Linked DNA regions of Canis lupus familiaris. The protein of the gene in region 3 purifies or fractionates together with the protein of the main gene of each other region. This does not show direct contact. Links are inferred from orthologs where the notes say so. Each region holds a gene or a part of one and is shown on either strand. Other genes may lie near its edges. The genes, in order: EEF1B2, EEF1G and VARS1.

Region 1 (3,746 bases), on a different chromosome or scaffold from region 3:
GCATAACAGTTTCTTTCCCACAGAGGAATGCCACAACTGCTACTGTAAGAACAGCTGCAGACCAGTAGCTGTGGAAGTTTTATGAAAAACTACGTATACAGATTTTTAAATACTGAACTAGTCAATGACGTGGAGGCAATTACTTTGGGAATCAAGCTTCAAAAGATTACTCAATTATGAAATGAAATTAAAGCAGCACAAATTTTAAAAAAATGACCTACTTTTGGCTTTCTTTGACTCATACTGTGCAAGGCGTTCCTCTCTTAGCCTCTTCGCTTCTTCACTTTCCTATAAAGAAAAATAGAGTATGTTTCACAAAGACAGTTGTTCCTCAGCTTTAAGCTAGTGAATCCATCACAACAAAGACCAGTTTTATCAGAAAAAGCAAATCCATCAGGAGCTCAGCCGAAAGATGGTGATTTGATTTTATTCATCATATAACCAGTGAGAATTTTTATAAGTCAAGTCATGAAGTGGGTGAAACCAGAATTCAAATCCAGGCAATTTCACCACAGAGCCTATGATTAAGCTCATCGATCTACACACCAACTTATGCCATACCTCCTCGTCATCAGATCCGAAGAGATCAATATCATCATCGTCTTTACTATCTGTAGCTCCACTTCCTGTGGTGTCTTCCACATTAGCAGGGCCATACTTGCCCAAAGCTTTCTTCACTCCTGGAAGGCTTGGGGAAAAAAAAAACAAAACTTATAAGTTCAACCACCACTACGCTGGTAAACTCTCAGACAGTACACGAGAACTTGTTTCCATCACTATCCAAAGAGCCCTTAGGTACTAAGAATTTGCCCGTAAACACTCCCAGGTAAATACTGTTGTGTGTTTAACTCCTCACCCAACAAACATTAGCAGCATGTGAGACATTACGTTCGATACTCACTATGATTTACTCTTTCAGTATGAGTATTTCTGTTTGAGATTAAGTATGCTCAGTTCCATTCTTAGTGAACTGGAGTCCACTTCCCCAAACTTCCACCCTTGTTGGCAGTTTCAGAAGAATGGCCAAGGACTGAATCAATGAGCCACCCCTCTCACCCCGGACGCGGGCCCCCCAGGTCAGGGTCCGGGCACAGTGTCAGGGCAGTGTGGGGAAAAGTTGAATTGCTGTGGTCCAGGTTCTACGTGTTCTGTGAAAAAATGCAGGACTTCAGTCTCTCGGCCTTCTCAAGTCACAGAGCTAGTTCAGCTTACATCACCCCAACAAAACTCACGTAGCCTGGGTCCAATTTTGTCACGTGAAAGATCCTGACCTGAAGCTTAGGAAGCCTCCTGTCCTTCAGGTAAACACACAGGTCACTTTACCTGGCCTTTTCCTTCTCGTAAGACTTGATGTGATTGTACCAACGCAGGGCATGATACAAGTCGGCAGGCGGGGGGCCGGAGACTGCTTCAAACACTGCCACATCCGCTTGTGACGGCACGTACCTGCGGGGAGGCAAGTCACACACGCCCTGAGGGGAGGGGCCAAGCGCCACGGCCACCAAGCTGAGCGCTGGGAGCTGGCCCATTTGCCACTGGGCAACCTAAGGTGATTTATTCTCGACGCTAAACTCAAGATCGGGGGCCATGTGTCTGGTTTTCCGCCCTCTCCCGAGGAATCCCTGCCACGTCGTGGACCTCAGAGCTCGCATCTCTGACGGAGACCTACGGGCTTACGTCCACGGGCCGAGCGAAGACGCGGAAAAGGTGGCTGAATCCAGTCAACGCAAAGAAGGCGCCCTTGGAAGCCCTCGGCCCCCAGCTGCGCCCGAGGCCGCGCCACGTGGCCGGCCCAGCCCGGCTCCAGCCCGGGCCCGTCCTCACCCCTCGATGTAGCTCTTGTCCGCTAGGTAGTCGTTGAGCACCTGGAGGCCGGCGGGGCTTTTCAGGTCTCCGAAACCCATAGCGTCGGCGGCTCCAAGAACCGGGCGGCAGCGAAGGAAGAGAAGAGGGGAGGCACCCGGCGCCCAGCGCTAAGAGGGGGGAGAGGAAAAAAGGGCCGCAAAAGGCCGGAAAACGCCTTATATAGAGACGGAGGCGTTTCCTTCTGCCGCACGGGGTCAAAGGTTAAGGGTCAACGTCCTCTAACAGCCTCATTCCTCCACGTAAAACTCGGAAGCTCCGCATTGAACGGCGCACAAATTATCCAGCGGCCTTTCTTTGTGTTTAGAAATAAGCTAATAAAAAGAGTATTCCTTAAACTAGTACCTCCGCGGCTCCGGCACACTACAGGAACCGCCCCTCGAAGCGCCGGAGGTGACCGAAGACGCTCGGCCTCAGGCGCCCGACCACTTCCGGCGGAACTGCGGTTCCCAACCGTCTCTCCCGCCTCCCGCCTCCCGCCTCCGCCCCGCCCCCCGGTCCGGCTGCCGGAAATTGCCGAACTCGCGCTAAGCGGGAAATTCTCGAATCTGAGGTTTCTGGTCCCTCCTGGCTTCCCGTTCTCCAGGGCCGGCGGGCGAGGTTTGCCGAGGACGCCATGTTGAATAAGCAATCGGGCCTCTGAGGGGGCTGGGAAGGTGCGGCGGTTCTGCAGAGCGGCTTTGGCGGCTCCGCCGAGAAGGTGAGGTCGTGGTTGCGGGAGAAGGCTGAGGTGGCCCTTGCCACAGGAGTGGACTTCTTGACGAGACGGTTTCTTGTAGGCCAGGCGACTCCTCCTCCTCTTGCCCTTGACTGGGCGCCGCGTCCCAGCCCGCCTCCTCCGGGACCCCCGGGGCCGGCAGGTGAGCGCCGTTGGCCGCGGTCTCCGGTCTCTTGGGGCGGAAGGCAGGTGGGGAGCCTGGGGGCCCTGGGACCGCGGGCGCGGAGGCAGGCGTGGGAGTGACCTTCCTTCTGCAAGGGAGACGCAGGACGTTCCCGGGAGAGGACTCTGTCAAGTGACTTAGGCCTCAAGGCAGCGGTTTCCCAAGTTAACACACATAATCCAGACGTTGGCCGGCGTTGCCTTAGCAGCCGTCCATGCGTCTGGGGATTTTTGTTGTTGTTGTGTTTTCATTTTTGTCCATTGAGTTATTTTTTTATTCCTTTCCCTGGTGGGTTAAACTGAGGAAAATGGTATTTAAAACCTTTGCCCAAGGTCGCACTGCAGATGACCTAGCTACGTTGTTCAGCCGTGTGGGGCTCTAACATGTACCGTAAGAGCGTGGATTAGGCCCGGCTGTGCTCCAGAATGATTGGAGAGCATTGAAAATGTGAACTGTTTCTGATGAATAAACATCCAAGTTGTTTCGTTAGGGAACGTTCTCTCCCCCACCCCCACCCCCCCCACCCCGCCCAATGGCATGGTGCAGGGTGTTATAAGGCTGTCAGAGGCCTGCGCTTTTTCAGGAAAATTTCTGGCAGAGATTTGAGATATAACTCCTATAGCAGACAGTTATTTTACGTCTGTTATAAATTAGAAATGAGTCCACGAAGAAGAATAAAATGGATGATATGCCTGGGGAGTAGGTTAGGAAATTTAAGATGGGCTGATGAAGGAAAGTTTTGGAAAACTGTCATCTATTGGGGTAATGCACTCTTCCGTTTGATGCTGGATTTTCAAGAGACAACCTAATTCTGGTTGATTTCCTAACTAAAGTGGGCAATACCTTTTTCCTGTATTGGAGACAAAATAATAAAGTGTTTACATTGTTGTATGAAATGTTGATTGTTGATTTTCAGTTTGTCATTACTCTGATTCAGCAAACTCAGATTTACCTTTATATCATCGACAGAATTTAGTAAGGCGGATGGTACTCATTTTGGAA
Region 2 (3,215 bases), on a different chromosome or scaffold from region 3:
AAATCCTGTCACCACAAGTTAAGTCCCTTAAATCTCTGAACCCCACTTCCTTGTGAGAAAGCAGAAATCCCCCAGAAATGATCCGCAGCCAAGTTAGGGCCCACAGGCCAGTGCCCGTTCTAGGTAGTAGGCTGGTACTGTGCCTGGTACTCCTGCTTATCTGAACTTTCTACCCAGACCCTTGATGCTACCTACCTCCCAGGGCAATCTGAGAAACACCATGAAGTTCCTCCACACACAGTGTGCTACCATACTTTAGCAACCTGGTCCTGCAGACTCAGGTAGTTACAAAGCTCTGTGTCACCAACCACCCGAACTGCACCCAGTCTTTCTCAGCTAGGCTAGAAGACAGCCATCACCGTACAGGCAGAGCATATAAAGTCGAAAATGAGGCCTCTGTTTCTGCTCTTCTGAAGACTTCTTTTTCCTGCAAAGGGAGGTATGCAAACCTAGAAAACACCCTGCTTCAACACTCCCCTTTGAAGAAGCCATCACTTAAAAAGGAGGCGGGACAGGTTAAGGGTTCAATGTTCAGTTTCCTTTAATGACCCCCATCTCCCTGAAGGGCAGGTACAGGCAGCTAGGCGATGATGACAAGAGATGTTTACTTGAAGATCTTGCCCTGATTGAAGGTTTTGCCCACATGCTGGAAGGCCCCCTCCCAGGAAAAGTACTCTCGAACCAGCGTCTGGGTCTCCTCGCTGCCAGGATCCAGTTTCCGCCACGTATAGGACTCGTAGTCCACCTGCCAATCTGGACTCAGCTGGGGAGAAAAAGCCAGGTTAAGAAGCGTGTGGTCCAATCAGATCCTGCCCCACACCTGTTACTTCCAGCTCAGCCACATGTCATCAGATCCTAAAACGCCTGTGACTGTGACAGTTCCTCCTGTACACATTCCTTGAACTCTCCTGAATGCCCATAAGCACAAGAATGAGAGTGTGCTTCCCATCTCCTTGCCCCACCCTAAAGAGAGCAACTCCTCCCCTACTCCTTTCCTCACCGGAAAGGCAAGCTCCTGGCCTCGGAAGACCCAGACTCCAGAAATGGAGCTGCTGTTGTTGGTTCCAAAGAGGATGACACTGGCAAAGGCATTCTTCCTCAGCTTGTCCAACCGTTGGAACATTCCTGACAGGGCCAAGGGAGAACAGAATCACAGTGGGTACAGCCTTCAGAATCACAGCACCCACTGCCTTGGCCTCCCCCTCCCTCAGCCCACCCTCTTCTCACCAGTGATGAGGTTACAACTCATAAAGGTCTGAGTGAGCTCCTCAGGGAAGCGGTACTCAGCGTACCACAGGGACCAGCCATCCTTATCGAAGTGCTCCCAGAAATACGGCAGTGCCACAGTGAGAGTGTCCTCATTGGAGTACTTGCGCTTAAATTCGTCCAACACAAAGGTACTGAATGGAGAAAAAAAGGCAAGATCGATGAGAAGAAGGTCCTACTGAGGCAACAAAGAGTCGCCAGGCTAAGAGAAGCTAAGGACGAATTTCACTTAAAATGTACTGGTTTAAAGGAAGAGCTCACTGGACTGGCAGATGGGTACAAGCTTGTAACAGAAGAAAGCTAAGGGCGTAGGAAGAAGGGCCTAGGCCACTCCTCTGCTCTCTCTCTGCAGTCTTAAGTAGGCTAAGCTCGAAGACAGTGGGACACCACACACACACACACACACACACACACACACACACACACACCCCCAGGGCCTGAGGGAGACCTGACCCAGGAAAAACACAGCAAACTGCTGCCCCCTGGTGGAAACCCAGAATGAGCGCTCATCCTTCCTGGCTAGCCCCTAGCCCCCTGGCTCCCTCCAGGGCCCTTTCCCACTGAGTCACAGTCCCTGATTCACCCAAGTATCTTCCCCTACCACAGGCCTCTTCGGGTTACACACACTACAATATGACAATGGAAGCAGCAAATGTTCTCAAAGAACCTCCGCCCCAGACTTTATACGGGTGGCCTTGAGTCACTGTGCCCAGGAACAAGCCCAGATGCTGAAAAGCCCTTAGGTTCAGCTGATCTTTGAGGCAACCTGGCACACTACACTGAGAAGGCTCAGCTATAGAGTTCCTCCCCTCATGGTAGGGGTTCTCTTTTTTTCTTTCCAGTTATAAAACCACATGCTGACTGAAGAAAATCATCTGCAATGCCAGTAAACAGAATTAATGTTTATGTACTTCCCGCTGGTGACTTCCCAAAGATGATGTATATAATTTTGTGCCTTATACAATTTGTTCATTTAACACTGTCCCCCTATCAGGGATTTTTTTTTTTTTTTTATTCATTTGAGAGAGATCACGAGCACCCAAGCACCCAAGTTAAAGCATAAGCAGGGGTGAAAGTCAGAGGAGGAGAAGCAGACTCTCCACTGAGCAGGAACCCCGATGTGGGGCTGGATCCCAGAACCCCAAGATCACAACCTGAGAAGGCAGACACTTGACCAACTGAGCCACCCAGGCACGCCTTACAAATGTTTTAATGGCTACATAATCCTCTACTGTAAAATGTGCCATAAACCTATTTAAGAAAACCCTAAGGATGCCTGGATGGCTCAGTGGTTGAGCCTTTGCCTTTGGCTCAGGTTGCAATACCAGAGTCCCAGGATCAAGTCCCACATCAGGCTCCCCACAGAGAGCCTGCTTCTCCCTCTGCCTATGTCTCTGCCTCTCTATGTGTCTCTCATGAATAAATAAATAAAATCTTTGGGGAAAAAAAAATTGGGATGCCTGGGTGGCTCAGTGCTTGAGCGTCTGCCTTCAGCTCAGGGCGTGATCCTGGAGTCCCTCGATTGAGTTCTACATTGGACTCCACTTGGGAGAGTCTGCTTCTTCCTCTGCCTGTGTTTCTGCCTCTCTCTCTCTGTCTCTCATGAATAAATAAAAGCCCTCGGGATCCCTGGGTGGTGCAGTGGTTTAGCGCCTGCCTTTGGCCCAGGGCATGATCCTGGAGACCCGGGATCAAATCCCACGTCAGGCTCCCAGTGCATGGAGCCCGCTTCTCCCTCTGCCTGTGTCTCTGCCTCTCTCTCTCTCTCACTGTGTGCCTATCATAAATAAAAAAAAAATAATAAAAAAAAAAAAAGCCCTCACTAAAAGTTTAATTGGACCAATTACTCATTAGTGTAAATGATGCTAACAAACCCTAGAGTTAGAAACCATTCCTTTCCCTCTTTCCAGATAAGGTTAAGTGGTGTGACCTGCCCACTATTACAATAT
Region 3 (3,746 bases):
GTGCAGGCACCCAGCCCCAATCACACAAGACAAGACATGGGTTTTGTGGCAAAATATTTTATTGCTGCCACCCCATGGTGGACACTGGGGGTCATGAGGAGTCGGGTGTATCACAGCATCTTCTGGAATAGCGCAATGGCTTCATCCACCTTCTTGAGCTCTGCTTCTATCTGTTGGAGCTGCCGGTTGGACAAGGAGAGGGGGTGGTGGGTGATGAGGACCCAGGCCCAAGAGAGGAGACAAATGTCAGGAATGGGGGCACACAAAAAGAAAAAAAAAAAAAAAGGAATGGGGGCACAGCCCAGAGTCACACAAGTGACCCACAATGCCCACGATGGCAGGGGGGTCCAGGTTGGAAAGATGGGTGAGGGCCATATACAGTGAGTATTCTGGGGACTGTGAGAGCATGGCCAGCCCATCCCCCACTCATTCTCATCAGCCTCCCCCATCAGCACCTGCCCTCCCTCCCAGCATCATTGGCCTCTCAGGTCTGGCCTTCTGCCAGTGTTCAGTCCCCAAACACAAAGGGGCCTCAGAGGCCTTGTGCCCCAGCCAGTAGCCCCCACCCCCAGGTGGACAGTAGGACACAGGAGTTAGGGACGCAGGCTCCTACGCAGGCACTGGGTTTTCGTCTGTAAAATGGCAATGGCCATACCCACTGCCCTGAGCGGGCTTCCAGGCGAATGGATAGACAGAGCTCTGCTCAGCCACTACGGCTTCACCACTCAGCCTCCATTCGTTTCTCTCTGTGTCCATGTGGTTCACTCCACTGCTCCTCCCTGGAGATCCCAGGTGAGCCCGCTGGGCTTCCCGATTGTACTGGGCCCCAGACCAGCCCCTGGCATGTGGGATGGGGAGCAAGGGCTCTGGCGGGGAGGCAGGATACCTATTCTAGGTCTGCCTCCGTCCTCACGTTGCGGGTGTGACCCTGGGCTGTGCCCTGGCTCCTAGCTGTTCCTTGTGTAAGAGGAGGGAGCCCCTCCGGTTCAGGGAACCCCACCGGTTCAGGAGGTCCGGGCTATCTGCTCCCTGGTCACTGCCCAGGGCTGGGTGGAGTGCAGCCACGGGACGGGGTCTGACGATGGAGGGAGCACATGGTGTGGGAAATGGAGAAGGGGTGCCCGCCCACACCACATACTTTGGCTCTGTCGGCCTCCTGGACTTCAAGGGGCACCTTGACAGGGTAGCCTGAGGCAGCGCGGCGCTCCCGTAGACGCTGTGCCTGCCGCTGTGCCTCGCTGCGCTTGGCCTGCAGCTTGCCCAGTTCCCGGGCCGGGTCCACCAGGCCCTGCAGCTGCAGGTGGACGGAGCAGCGGTCAGATGCCAGGGCCACAGCACAGCCCTGTGGTGCAGGAGCCCCCAGGGCCAGGACAGCCACCACACCCGCGCTGGCCAGCGCCTGCACGTAGGCCGACACTGCCGATGCCAGAATGCCTGTGGCCTCATCAGCCACTTCCAGGAAACCTGTGGGGAAGGGAGGAAGGTGAGAGATCTGGCCCCAAGGAGACAGGACATGAGGCAACCGCACAGGACCATGGTCCCAGAGTGGGCTGAGGGGACAGGGGCACAAGGCAGGCATGAGGATACGAGGCTCACAGTCAGGCCTGATCCGGGTCAGGTTGTAGTCCGCACGCAGGGAGCGCACGGCTCGTGTGATGCTTAGGGCCAGTTCCATGGCAGCTTCCGCCTCAGGGTCCTTCCAGGAGCACTGCAGGGTGGAGGAGTGGTGAGGGAGGCTGGGGGGGCAGGCCAGAGGCCCCCTCCCAGCCATACCCCTTACCTCTGAGGGCTCCGGATAGGGGGTAACACAGAGACTAGGGGGTGCTTGTAGTGTCCGCCGGGGCAGCCTCTGGAATAGCTCCTCTGTCACAAAGGGCATGAAGGGTGACAGCAGCCGCAGGCCAACATCCAGGCAGGTGTAGAGGGTCTGGCGAGCACACTCGGCTACCACGTGGTCCATCCCATTCAGCACGGGCTTCAGGCACTCCTAGGGGACCGGGAAACATAGGCCTCAGGGACGTCTACCTCCAGCCCCAACTGTGCCTGTGAGGCTGGCTCTGGTCTCAGTGCCAACCACTGGCAAAGTGAGGCTCAGGGCTGTGCCGCCCCACACCCACCCTGCTTCTCACCAGGTAGACATCACAGAGCTCATAGAGCCAGAAGCTGTACTGGGCAGTGGTGACAGCTGGGAAATCGTAGGCCTGGAAGCCTTGGTTGCTAAGCCTCACCGCCTCAGTCAGCCGGCTGCGGATCCAGCGGTCCACCAGGCTCTCGTGGCCTCCAGGCTTGGGAAGAAAGAGCCTATCAGCTGGGAGGTACCATACGCCTGGGGCAGGGAGGCAAAAGCCCATGGCGGGGGTGGGCAGGAACCATGGGCAGCTCTACATCCCAGGAACCTGCCAGGTCTGAAGCCACCATGTGCCAAGTACATGAAAAAGAAAGGACAGCACCCCCCCATCTCCTTGAGGGAGGACCCCAATGCCCCAGGCTTACACTGTAACTGTCTGTACCTGTGTCCATCTGTCCCTTCAGTTACATGAAGGATCCTCCAAAGCAGGGCCTGGGCCACCTGACTCAGTGGTCAGGATCCTGACACAGCACTGGCCATGCTTGTGGCTGCCTGGGCGGGTGCTGCCCACCTCGCCGCCTACCAGGCCCTCACCTCAGAGATGGCTGAGGGCACAAAACCCTTCCCCAGGCCCCGGAGGGCAAACTTGGTGGCGTTCCAGAGCTTGTTGCAGAAGTGGCGGTACCCCAATATCCGGTTCACATCCAGGTTAATGTCACGACCTGGGTGGGAGTGAAGGGTGAGTCCTCCCCATCTCCCTCCTGGCACGTGCCCAGGGTGTAGAAGGACAAGGGTGGGCCTCAGGGAAGGAGGAAGGACTTGGATGAGAGGTTTTGGAGGCCATACCCTGGGACGTGTAGGCACAGAGTCCAAACCGGAGGGCGTCGGTGCCACACTCGGGAATGCCTGCCGGAAAGTCTGCCTTCTGTAGGAAGGAGTCAACGGGGGGGCGTCGTGAGGTGGCCGCACCCTCCTCGGCCCACCCTCTAGTCCCAGAGCCCAGCCTCAGTACCTGGCCATCTTTAGCCTTCTCCACCTCACTGGGGTCCAGGTTGCTGTTCAGTAACTGGTCATGGAGGCCCTGAGGAGGAGGTGGGAGTGGTCAGGAGTCGTGGCCACAGCCCCATAGCCCTGCCAGGCCTGGCCCAGAGCGCGGCCCCACCTGCAGGGAGACTCCATGGATGACGTCCAGGGGGTCGATAACATTGCCTAAAGACTTGCTCATCTTTCGGCCGTGGGCATCTCGCACGATGGCATGAAGGTAGACCTGGCGAGGAAGAGCAGGGAGGGCCCGTGACAATGTATGCCCTCACCCAGACCCAGTGCCTGCCCAGGGCCTGCATCTAGTCGGCCCCATTCTGAACCTCGGGGCTTCGGGGTCCCTACCAGCGCACTCAGCACCTTTGTGGGCATCAGAGGCACTCCCTCCTCTGCAAAGCCAGTGCACAGAATCACTGTGAGGAGGCCCTGGCTGAGGCCCACCCACGGCTGCAGCTGTGGCACGGGATGGGAGGGACTGTGGGGCGGGTTCGGCAGTCTTCACACCTCTCTGAAGGGCAGCTTGCCGGTGAGCTTCAGGCCAAGCATGACCATCCTGGCCACCCAGAAGAAAAGGATGTCATGGCCCGTCTCCAGCAGCGTCCCCGGGTAGAACACACTCAGATCTTCTGACTGGGGG

What was found.
Region 1: the proteins of VARS1 (region 3) and EEF1B2 fractionate together in Homo sapiens (co-fractionation; 3 studies listed by BioGRID, with this or other methods). This does not show direct contact. The link is inferred for Canis lupus familiaris from reciprocal best matches to the Homo sapiens genes VARS1 and EEF1B2.
Region 2: the proteins of VARS1 (region 3) and EEF1G purify together in Homo sapiens (affinity purification with mass spectrometry; 6 studies listed by BioGRID and IntAct, counting the BioPlex papers as one, with this or other methods). This does not show direct contact. The link is inferred for Canis lupus familiaris from reciprocal best matches to the Homo sapiens genes VARS1 and EEF1G.

The regions. Positions count from the first base shown.
Region 1 is NC_049258.1:14,570,683-14,574,428, reverse strand, and holds the start of EEF1B2 (elongation factor 1-beta), read right to left. Parts: upstream 2,337-3,746; 5' UTR 2,209-2,336; intron 1,974-2,208; 5' UTR 1,905-1,973; coding exon 1,825-1,904; intron 1,447-1,824; coding exon 1,324-1,446; intron 689-1,323; coding exon 562-688; intron 446-561; exon of another isoform or gene 368-445; intron 289-367; coding exon 222-288; intron 77-221; exon of another isoform or gene 1-76. UniProt on the Homo sapiens protein: Catalytic subunit of the guanine nucleotide exchange factor (GEF) (eEF1B subcomplex) of the eukaryotic elongation factor 1 complex (eEF1).
Region 2 is NC_049239.1:54,591,002-54,594,216, reverse strand, and holds the end of EEF1G (elongation factor 1-gamma), read right to left. Parts: intron 1,401-3,215; coding exon 1,228-1,400; intron 1,126-1,227; coding exon 1,001-1,125; intron 764-1,000; coding exon 605-763; 3' UTR 517-604; downstream 1-516. UniProt on the Homo sapiens protein: Probably plays a role in anchoring the complex to other cellular components.
Region 3 is NC_049233.1:1,392,470-1,396,215, forward strand, and holds the end of VARS1 (valine--tRNA ligase), read right to left. Parts: intron 3,740-3,746; coding exon 3,614-3,739; intron 3,336-3,613; coding exon 3,231-3,335; intron 3,150-3,230; coding exon 3,081-3,149; intron 2,994-3,080; coding exon 2,915-2,993; intron 2,791-2,914; coding exon 2,663-2,790; intron 2,286-2,662; coding exon 2,130-2,285; intron 1,988-2,129; coding exon 1,781-1,987; intron 1,709-1,780; coding exon 1,597-1,708; intron 1,465-1,596; coding exon 1,139-1,464; intron 180-1,138; coding exon 111-179; downstream 1-110. UniProt on the Homo sapiens protein: Catalyzes the attachment of valine to tRNA(Val).